Linked DNA regions of Caenorhabditis elegans. The protein of the gene in region 1 interacts with the protein of each later gene in a pairwise test. Each region holds a gene or a part of one and is shown in the gene's direction. Other genes may lie near its edges. The genes, in order: golg-2, gei-4 and magi-1.

Region 1 (3,754 bases):
CCCATAGTTGGTTACTGTACTCCTTAGAGGCGCAAACTACTTTACCGTGTACTCGACGGACATATTTCGGTCGTAGCAAGATCAAGGACTGTATTTTTGAGTGAAAAACTGAATAATAATAGGTTTTACCTCACTTCGTGTGTTTTCTATACAAGTTTGGAATTAATATATAACCGCAGCCGCCAAAGGAGAATTCTTAATTCATTTGCGCAAAAATTAAAAAATAGTTTTGTAGAAATATTTTTGTTCCGAGAAAGTAGCCGTTCTCCTATAGGATATTATAAATATTGCTGAAGTGGAGAGAAAGTTTATAGTACAGTACTCCAAAAAAAATTCAGGGTATATCCGAGTCGCTAAAAAGGAGATTCGATTCGATTTTCTTCTGCAGTCACGAATTCAATTCAATTGGGAATAAATTCGAAACAAAACTAAACCAAAAACTTGCATAAAACATTTGAAAAAAGTGGCGCGGAAGTGACACTGACGGCTGTCCTTTATGTCCGTCCATGTACACAGCTGGAGTAGAAAGATCGATTGTGCTCAGAGCGTGATTTGGAGGAAGGTCGTATTTTATATGCAAGTGACAGTTTCAGATAACACATTTTTTCAGAGAACTACAGTAATGACATTGATTATTTTTCCGAAAGGTTTCTAGGTACTGAACAATTGGTCTTCAAAAATTTCGGAAACTCGTATCAGTGTTTTTCCAAATATTTTTAAAAACTGAGCGAATAACCAAAATATAATCTTCAAATTTGCTTGTGTATTCTAATGCTTTACAGTATACAGAGATAATAGGCTTGTTTATGTTCTCCTACAGTACCCCTCCACACTCGGGAATTATATATTCCTCATTTATCCTTCATTTTTAAATATTTTACATATATCTCATATGAATTCGTTGCTACTATGATCACCATTCTTTTTAATTTTCAGTTTAACACTGTCATGAAAAGTTTTGAAGAACATTTTCCAATATTCACTTCTATGTACTCATAAATTTCGTTTTCCTGCGTATTGTGTCTCTAGTAAGTGCCAATGGGGCGCGTTTTCATCAAAAATTTTTGAAGATATTTTTTTTCCTAGTATTTTTTTATTAATTTTCTTCACATTTTTTTCAAATTTAATACATTCGATTATATAACATATATTTTGCTTCATAAAATTCCCCATTTCCTATGTCCGTTTAAAAATATTTTGTCCCCTTCCGGAATTCCATGACCAATTCAATTCCTTCTAAAATATCAAATTACTGGAAGACTTTGACTTCTCGCTTTGTCCTTTTCGTTTCCAATTTTTAAAACAAATAAAAAGGCAGAAAATAAAACAGATTTTGTTCCAGATGAGATTGACTCGGATTTTGCGTGTTTTAATCAGAAGAAAAGACGGGCAGGCCGAATGGAAGGAAATCACGGAAAATCAGTTACCTAAAGGAGGAAAGAAGCTTTCTTTTAGAGAGGTCTATTTTGATAATCAATTTTAAAAACGAATTAAGTATTTTCCAGAACTCCCTAATCGCATTTGGAGTAGGCATGCTGATATTTTCTTATGCCTACTTCCAAGATGAGATCAATCCTGATTCAAAGTGGGCTAGTGAGTTGATATTCTCAATTAAAATGTTATCTTCAACTACTTAATTCTAGAAGCATACCGCACGTTCACACGAGAACCTCTTGCCTGGCTCACCAAGGGGCAAACCGATTCGCCTGTCTCATCTGATCACAAGCCTCCAGTTTTCTAATTTGCTCGGTTGTTTTTTAGCATTTATTTCCAAAGTTTCGTTAGTTATTTGTACATAAACCTATTATTTTTTCTTTTTTGTGTGAATTTCTGCTGCTTTCATTGCGAACTCGCTTTGTTGTCTGCGCTATGTCGTCAATTGCGGTGTTTGCGTCCAACCACTAATTTCCACGTCTTTTTTCATTTTCAGCTTTTAAAATCGATAGATTTTACTGTTTTTCGGCGTAAAGCTGGATTAATCAGTGATATGGTCGATGCCGCTGCACCTGCCAAAGCTGAAATGCTGGCAGCGGCCAGGAAAAAGGTGAGAATCGTGAGGAAACTTTATTAAAACAAAGTTTATAGAGTAAATTTTACAGCTGAAAGACTTTGAAGCACGTCAAAGACTCGATGGACGTAATTCTCCTGCATCAAGTATCATTTCATCAGAGCCGGGTGCTGGAGCAGGTTTAAATGGACGGAGCAGCGTTGTCAGTGAAGATTCGACAGCGCTTCAAATTCCACACTCATCTTCTTCTGCACAAAGTTTGAATGCAAGAAATGGATTGGATGTGAGAAAATCGATAACATCGTTAAATGAGTAAATGTTTTCTTCAGGCTTCACCATTTCAACCGAACGGAAACGAATGGTATCAGGCATATACACAATTGAAGACCCAGCATGACGAATTGGTAAGGATAATGAGAAATTGACAAATACAAAAACTAATTCGTTAATTATATGAATAATGATTTTATTAAAAAAAAAATCATTTTAGTGTGCCCATTACTCCCAACTTCATTCCGCTTATTCACAAGTCAATGCAAATGGAATACATGTGGATACAGAAAATCAAATTGTCCAACTCCAAAATGTAAGGATTACTCGTTTTATTTATTTTAATTTAATGATGGAGTATTCAGGCATTGTCTGCAATGGTTGAAGAGAAAGTTTCGTCTCAAAGTGATCTTCGTCAGGCAAACAAGCAAATCGAAAAACTTCGACACAAGCTGGCTGCTGCAGAGAACATTGCCAACCAAATGAGCAATTCAACATCATCTGGACTTTCGTCAAACGAAATTCGAAAACTCAATGAAGCAATTGCACAAAAAGATTCCCTATTAACTGCACGTCATCAAGAGCTAGAAGGAGCTCGACGAGAAGTTGCATCAATGCAAGCTAACCTGCTAAATGTTCAACACGAGAGAAGTGAAGCACAAGCACGTGTGAAAAGTATGATAAAAGAAACGGCGGCTCAAGAAAATCGCATCAGTCAGCTCATGAAAGACATTCAAATGAAAGATCTTTATTTGAAACAACTTGGAGCCACAGGACCGCCGGGAGGGATTCCGAATGAGAATACGAATTATGAAAACTTGCAACGTGAGCTGGAGAACGTTAAAGCTGAAAAATCACGTCTTCTCGTCGAATCTGCGACATTAAAAGCTCACTATGCTGATCGAGAGTATGCACTTCAACAAAAGCAAGCAGAGATGGCTTTAGAAATCGAGCATTTGCATAATCAAAAATTTTCTTCAAACGATCAAGTTGAACATCTCGAAAATCAACTCGAAATTGCTCAATCTGAACTGCAGAAGCTTCAAATGAATATGGATGTTTCTGAGAGGCATGATGAAATTCCAACTATCACAGAAGAAGATGTAGCAAGACGGATTCGTGAAGCGTGTTTCGTTGAAAGAGGGAAGTGGGAACGAAGAAGTGAGGATGATCAGAAACGCAGAGAAGAAGAAATTCTAGAAAAAGACAAAGTTATTTTCGAAAGAGAACAGTCATTGGCAGAACTTGAAATGAAATATCGACTTTTGGAAGAACGAACGTTAGAGTCAACTGCAAACGGAGCTGATTTGTTGTCTCTTTCAGAGCAACTACAGGTAGATTTACAATTTTCAATATTTTTCCCTGATTTTTCAAATTTTCGAATTTACAGAACGAAAAAGCGACCGTATCCCGCGCAGTGGCACAAAACAAAGAGCTTAAAGAACGTCTCTTGGAAACGGAAGACCGATTTGTTAC
Region 2 (3,754 bases), on another chromosome or scaffold:
CCTGAGCTCCATTCTAGTCTGATTCCACATGGTATATCCAGGACTACTGGAGAGCCCCAACAACTTTCAAGCTTTTCTAAGGCCTGGGTTCTCTATTTTAACAGACCCAAGAGGCCTGATATCATAGCCTCTGAATACGGTAGAAGCCAAGTTCTGCTCCTCTTCCTCTCCTTATACTATCTCCTGTGCTTCTTCTCCTTCTTCTTTCCTCACTGAGAGTGCCTGAGAGTTATTGTCGGCCGTCATTCGCCTCTCTTGTTTTCGAGTCTGCCGCACCCTCCGATCCATCTCTCCCCATCTTTCTCTCCGCATCACGTTACCCATTCATTCGGCACTCCTCCACGCACTCTCCACAATCGATACGCTGTCGTCACGGCCTCTAAGCACACACACTCCACGACGGGCGCGCTCTCTCGTGCCGGGTGTCTCGTGATCTCCGCCACTCGGCACAGTGTCTAGTGATGTTTGGACTCTCCGCAGCGCGCATTGTGTATGCGAGTGTGCAACGCGTCTCCGCGTCGCGGTCGGCCTCCCCTCGTACACAATGCCCCGCCCGTCTCCAATCTCTCCTCCCTCTCGTCCTATGCGCCCCAAATCGTCCTCTTCTTTTGTGTATATGTTTCGTTTTCTCTTAGTCTTCTTCCTCTTCTACTACTACTACTTTTTGCCCCCCGTCTTGTTCCCTTCATCTCCCTACACTTCTTCTTCTTCTTACCATCCCCAACCGCATCCATCCGCCATCACACACTCTTTTCCGCTGATTTTGGGAGCGCAGAGACAGAAGGCAGGCAGGCAACAAAATAGTGTGGTTAACAGTGATGATGGGAAGAGCATGGGCGGTTTAGGCGCGAAGAGGACAAATTTGAATTCTAAAAATCGACTTGAAACGGAGAGGTACAGGTTGGATTTGATGCCTTGGCCGTGAAATGGGAAAATTCGGAGGGATTTTCAGAGAACCCACAGCGATAGGAATTGGAAGACGGTATTAGAACCATTACATTAGGCTTTAGGCTCAGGTACTTGGATACGGGGCCCTCGTGGTGTCAGGCTGTCCTACTATGGTTTGATCTACAAAAAAATGCGGAAATTTTTGGCCCATAAAAATGTGACGTCAGCAAGTTCTTAACCATGCAAAATCAGTTGAGAACTCTGCGCCTCAACTCCGGCATTTTTTGTAGATCTACGCAGATCAAACCGAAATGAGACACTCTGAGACTTTTTCGTGGGGACCGCGGATATAAAAGGTCGGCCACCAAAATTCATTGCTCTTCTAGAATGCTAACTCTGCCTCTGGAACCCAAAATACCTCTGGATTTGCTGAAACTAGCTTAAAAGTGGATCAGCAGGACCTTTTCCGCAGGATTTAGAGGGACTGACCGAGTTTTCTCTTTCACGGCCACCATGTTCAAGCAGTGCACCTGGGCACCTGTGCACACAGCTCCAACACGAAAAGAAACTAAGATTTTTGCATTTTCAGTAAAATTCAGAAAATTCCACGTGGATCAGTGAAAATTTGGCGCAATTCCGTCGAAATTAGTACATGCTGGGACTATAATAAGAATTTTTTAAGCTTTTGCAGTGAGATACGTTGTTTTCAATTTTATTTTTCAATTTTTCAATCAAAATTCATGTATTCTTCTTTTGTTCCAGTCATTTTAAGCAGTGTTTTCATTATTCTAGTCTTATGAAATTCGAAAAATTGAGAAGGAGGCAAGTGCGCTCCAGTGACACTCCGGCAAATTTGAATTCGAAACTTATCTGCTTCTCTATTTTTCTCACTTTCTCCATTTAATTTCTTATTTTTCTTTGGTTTTCCTGGTTTTCCTTGGTTTTTCTTCAAAAAATTAATTTTTCAAGTGATTAAAATTGTTTCCAGCACAATTATATCCTTATTAAATCGCAATTCTCATCGGAAACTAGCTTAAAAACCTAAAATTCCAATTTTTTCAGGCTCGGAAACACAAAAAATAATAAAAAATGCAGCAGAATATACAATACACATACAGTTCGGATCCCCGCTCGGGCGGTAATCAAAATCAGCAGCTACACGGAATATCGCAATTTCAACAGAACTCCTATCAGCCGACGACGTATTCAAATTCAAATGCGAACAATTTTCATTCCTCTAATTCCGCAACTTTTATACCTAATTCAGTGACGGTAGGGGATTTTCAGGAAATCGAGTGAAAATGTTCAATTTTATTTAATTTCAGCAAACACCTCAGCGGCGGATGGGAGAAGAGAAGAGTTTAGTTAATATGCTTGACGCTTATTTTATCGACAGTACGACACCTTCAACATCAACGTCGTGGAATAATCAGCAGCCAGTTCAGGTAAAAATCGTAAAAATCGTGCGATTTGGCTTAAAAAAATGGCGGAAATCTCGAAAAATCTCGATTTTCCTCATTTTTTACCGTAAATTCTATCGTAATTGTGGTTGTGTTTGTGAATCGTGATTTATTTTATAGATGTCTTCAATACAACAATCAGTTGGATCATACAATCAACAAATACCTCAGTTGAAAGTAGGAGATGTGGTAAATTCGTTGTTTTTTCTTTGTTTTTTTTTGGGGAGAATTTCGTGTTATTCAGTGATTTTTTCAAGGAATTTTGAATTTTGCAGCTCGAAATCCGCGTGGATTTTCGCATTTGAGCGGATTTTTCAAAAAATTTGCTCAAAAAGTCGATAAGTTACTGGAACTTGCTTAGTTTTGCAACTATGGTCTGCTAAATAATTAGCAGACCAAAGGTGGGTATGCTAAATATTTAGCAGGCCCAAGTTGGGTATGCTAAATATTTAGCAGACCCAAGATGCGAAATCGAGCAGAATTTGTCCATTTCTCGAGTTTTAATGCGAATTTTAAGTTTCAACACACTGAAAACACGAATTGAATGAAATCACGCAGCGAACTCACCGAGCACACCTCAGAAACATTTCAGGACCTACAAGTAGAAGGAATGAATGTTAAACTCTCCTCGTCACCCGACAAAGGCGAGAAGGATCGAGTAAAGAAGGCGCGACAGGCAGAAGCCGCCCGAATGCGTTATCACCGACTATCAAACGAAGAGAAACGAGAGTTAAACCTGAAAAGAACGTTGGCGCAGAAGCGAAAACGGCAACGTGAGAAGGAGATGGAGGAGCTCGAATCGATTTTGCGGGAGACAAATGACATTCAAGAGGATCCGGACATCACCGAACAGCTCAGAGAGAAGAGAATGCGGGCCAAGTGGGCAGAGGCCGCCCGTACACGTTACGCTAGAATGACGCCGGAAGAGCGCCGGGCGCACAATACGCGGAGACGTATGCGGCAGATGCAGAACGCGATGAGCGCGATTAAGGTGAATATAGAACATTGAATTCTAGCAGAAAATCTGGAAAATTAGCGGAGAAGAGGAAAATTTAATTGGGTGAAAATCTATTTTTGGTAAAATCTCTCCTCCCTAACACACAAAATTTGTAATTTTTCCGCTGCTACCGTGACGTAACATTCCAGAAATCGGAGTTTCAGGCATGTGGAATGGCTACAGGAGATCCACAGAAGGACGACGAGGCTGTCCGGTTGCACATCAAGACGCAGAATGCGAAAAAAGCGGAGGCGGCTCGTCAACGGTAAGGAAGAGATTCGGGGGAATCAGAATAGCTTGGGTCTGCTAAATATTTACCATACCAAACTTGGGTCTGCTAAATATTCAGAATGGGTCTGCTAAATATTTAGCATACCCAACTTTGGTCTGCTAAATATTTATTTGGGTC
Region 3 (3,754 bases), on another chromosome or scaffold:
TGCAAAAGCGCGCGGCAAATCATGTAGGCACAAAGGTAGGCATTTGTGTGTTTTCATGAATATTGAGAATTCAGTAAATAATGTGATCTACCTACATAAAGGTTCCTATAGGAGTTCTCTGTAGAGAACTTCAACTATATTTTGGAAGCATGATTTTCCCTGTTTCGCCTTTGTCTCTTCTCAGCATCAATCAAATTTTTGCATTTCTCAGGATTAATGTGTGTCTTTTTCGTTGTGTTCTCGTAACTACGAATCTCCAGCTGATTCCCTCGAGTACAAATTGCAAACAGCCGTCCCCTTCTTCTACTTCTTGTCCTTCATTTTTGTTTCTAAAGTCGCTGTCATCACTGTGATTCTGTGGTGACTGCTGCAGCACAACATGCCAGATGCGTGGCAGATGTTGAAAACTTTCGGAAGTTTGTGTAGAAATCGGAGAAGAAGAAGAAGAACTTGACGAATTATATGAGCCTGACCAGCGCTGTCGTCTCGGTGCGTTTACCATTAGTATGTTACAAAATTGACCTGTCTCCCTTTCTTTTTCTATCCGCAGAGGATTTAACGCTTTATGAGAAAACCGTTCACCATATTATCGGCGAGAAGCAAAAGTGCGTGCCGTAACGGCAAAGTGTATGTTTGTTCTCCAAATATCACATTCAGCTTTTTTGCGCCTCGCAAGAAAATGCTCTAGGCTTGCCGACGGTCAACTCGAACCTTCTGGACCAAATTGAAAATTTTCCGACTGTCCTGAAACTATAGCTCCTAATAGTTGTATTTTATTTTTAAATTCAAAAATTTTCCAACATTAAGAAAGAAGGGAATCGAGTTTCCCAGGTGCAATGACTCACGGCTTTTCGAACGAAAGTGGGATTTTTGACGAATTTCAAATTTTCGAAAGTGGCAAGTATTTTCGCTAAAGTAATGTTATTCTTTTCAAAATATTGTCTAAATTTTCTAATTTATTACTAGAAAGTTTTAAAGTGCTACAGTAATCATGACTCTAAAATTATTAAGTTAACATGTATATTTCAATTTTATCTAATTCATTATAAATATGTATTGAAAACTTACTTATATTATTTAGTTGAATTTTTATTAGAAACACCAGTTTTTACTAAAAAATAGAGTTTAAATATTTTTCATGTCTCTTTTAGTAACAAAATTTATTGAGTGATACCCGTAGAAAACAACAGGTGTGACCGCACTAAAATATATACAACACACTACATTTCCCGCAATTCATGTAGGCCAAATGGTGGTGGGTACACTGCACGCGTGTTAGAGTTGCCCCTCGGTTTAGTCGATCGATAAACAGTATTGCATCCCTGCTAGTCTTCCACATACCTCTTTAAGACACTACATGGAACAATTCAATTTTTTTTCGCTTTTTTCATTTTTTTCTTTTATCAATAATATCTTCGAACTTCCAAAACATTACACGATTTGTTTTGTTTCTGTTCAAATTGAGTTCAAAATAGGGCGCGCGAAATTTTTTTAGTCGAAGACTTCATTTTTCGGTTTTTCTTGCTCGTTTTGCGCTATACTTTTCAATACATTTTGCGCAAATATCTTGTTGTCACCTGACAGTGCTAAACTTTCTGAAAAATCTGCGCGCACTTCTTCTTATTTATTCTTCTTCCAATTTCCAATCTCTGACTCATTATTAATTTGTCATTTCGACAGCGCCTTATTCATATTCACACTGCACTCTTTCTCATCTTTTGCTTGTCCCTTGCTCTCCTTCGGGTTCTCTTGAGGTCGCCGACACACAAACGGTTGTTTCGTAATAAATATTTATTTGTTTTCGCAAAATTTATGCGGTCCCCTTTCTCATGGGCCATTCCGAACTTTGAAGATAGTAATTCATTTTCGTTGCAGAGAAGACATTCCAACTCGACATTCTCTTAATGAACCCACGACTAAAAAGATGACCGACAAAACAGCTGGTGAGATTGAGAGTTTAGTCCATAAACATCAAGATTATTAATTTCAGAACTTTGCCTGAAAATTGGAGATGAAGAAAAGGATGATTTCACATTGGAAATTGAAAAGCTTCAGGTTTGTTTTGATTTGTTTCATGTCTAACGGCTCCACCCCAAAATAAAACTCATTTCAAAACCACTTCCCATTGTTTATTCGCAAGAAAAAAGGATTAGTGAAGTAGTGGAAGGCTCTTCCCAACCACTTGTTCGTCGTCCTTCTGAATTCCTCCCCTCACTATCCCAAGTTTTCAGGCCACTCTTCAAGAAATGCTCGATTGCACGAGCAGCCCAAGCACTTCACTAGATTCCACTGACAAACGTGAGTTATTCAATCATTTATGACCTTCAAGAAAGATATTGAGTTTAACGAAGAAGTTTAAAGTTTGAATATTCCATGCATTTCAAAGTTCAGTTTACAGTGAAATATAAAACAGAGCTTTTAGTTATTGTGTGGTTGAAAAGTTTTTAATTCTTTAGTGAGTTTTTTTTTCAAACATAGATAGATATAATACAATATGCTCCCTATTAGTATTACACCTACATTTCTATACTCTGAGATTTCATATTTCGATTATTTCTAAAGATAAAAATGTAACCTAAATTTTACTAGTTGAATACTTTCACTGTCAAAAGAAACACAGTAGGAGCACACGTTAATACCTAATTTTTTAATATTCATCAAGACTGTCTTAAAATTTTTTTTTGTTTGGGTTCCGAATAAAAATTTAACAACTAAAGCAAAAAAAATCATTGTAAGTCAAGAAAGATCATTTTTGAAAAAAAAACCAAAAATCAGGAAATAGCCAAAAAAAGACTGAAAATAATTTTTAATATTCTAGTGCCATCCGGACTTGCTGCTCGTCGACTGATCCGTATTGCCAGTGAACATCATCATATTTCCACGACATCTTCTTGCCATTCGGACTCTGGAAACTCTTCATCTCGAGACGTCATCACCCCGTTTACAGTACATGGCGGAGCCTCAATTGGACGACTCATTCTGATTGATATTGTGCGACGTGATGATTTAATTGGAATTGTTCATCCTAACGATATTCTTTTAACAATTGAGAACATGTAGGTTTTCTAGAACATTTCTTTTTTTATTATTTAAATTTTCAGAAAAGTATCAGGAATGGTAAGATCTGAAGTGAATAGGATATTGGAAGATATGATGAGAGAACATGATCAAATTGCGATTGAAATTCTACCAGCTGGAGCAATTACCGATGATATTTGTGAACTACTGGCCGATAGAAAATCATCTGGTGAACTTCAGACTATCATTCGAGAAAATTTATATCAGAAGACAGTTCCTTGTGAGTTACAAAAAAAGTTGATCTGAAACTAACTAGATTGGATTTAATACTTATAAGTTTCATTCCTCAAAACCTCATTGTTTTCAATGGCACTAGCAGCTGCCCACAGGGAGTATCATTGAGATGAAATAGTGTGTGATCTAGAGAAACCTAGACATCCGCCCCATTAAATTAGGTGATTTAGGATCTAGGGGATCATCACAAGGTGGGGGAGGGTCCGAAGCTGGCCACCAGTGGAAGTGTTAAAATGTTCGGTTCGCCTTTACCAAAACATTCACTAAAACCTGCATTTCTTTCCAAACGAACATCTCTTCCTGTTATTGATCTAAAAGATTATTATGGAGGGACAAGTATTGAAGTTAAAACAAATTTCAATTTCAAAGTGACCATTTTCAGACACAACTCGACCTCCACGAGAAGGTGAAGTTGATGGAGAACACTATCGATTTGTGTCTG

Evidence for each region.
Region 2: the proteins of golg-2 (region 1) and gei-4 interact in a two-hybrid assay, tested with the Caenorhabditis elegans proteins (one large-scale study listed by BioGRID).
Region 3: the proteins of golg-2 (region 1) and magi-1 interact in a two-hybrid assay, tested with the Caenorhabditis elegans proteins (one large-scale study listed by BioGRID).

What each region holds. Positions count from the first base shown.
Region 1 is NC_003280.10:5,038,268-5,042,021, reverse strand, and holds the start of golg-2 (Golgin subfamily A conserved domain-containing protein), read left to right. Parts: upstream 1-1,930; 5' UTR 1,931-1,987; coding exon 1,988-2,044; intron 2,045-2,099; coding exon 2,100-2,291; intron 2,292-2,337; coding exon 2,338-2,412; intron 2,413-2,498; coding exon 2,499-2,594; intron 2,595-2,643; coding exon 2,644-3,612; intron 3,613-3,668; coding exon 3,669-3,754. Other genes in the region: F33G12.7 (uncharacterized protein), read left to right, coding at 1,343-1,459, 1,506-1,593, 1,644-1,741.
Region 2 is NC_003281.10:346,624-350,377, reverse strand, and holds the start of gei-4 (BZIP domain-containing protein), read left to right. Parts: upstream 1-1,950; 5' UTR 1,951-1,977; coding exon 1,978-2,160; intron 2,161-2,213; coding exon 2,214-2,333; intron 2,334-2,468; coding exon 2,469-2,537; coding exon of another isoform or gene 2,538-2,690; intron 2,691-2,940; coding exon 2,941-3,339; intron 3,340-3,494; coding exon of another isoform or gene 3,495-3,509; coding exon 3,510-3,610; intron 3,611-3,754.
Region 3 is NC_003282.8:11,713,166-11,716,919, forward strand, and holds the start of magi-1 (Guanylate kinase), read left to right. Parts: upstream 1-1,873; 5' UTR 1,874-1,924; coding exon 1,925-1,943; intron 1,944-1,990; coding exon 1,991-2,055; intron 2,056-2,231; coding exon 2,232-2,298; intron 2,299-2,818; coding exon 2,819-3,056; intron 3,057-3,101; coding exon 3,102-3,298; intron 3,299-3,359; exon of another isoform or gene 3,360-3,536; intron 3,537-3,694; coding exon 3,695-3,754.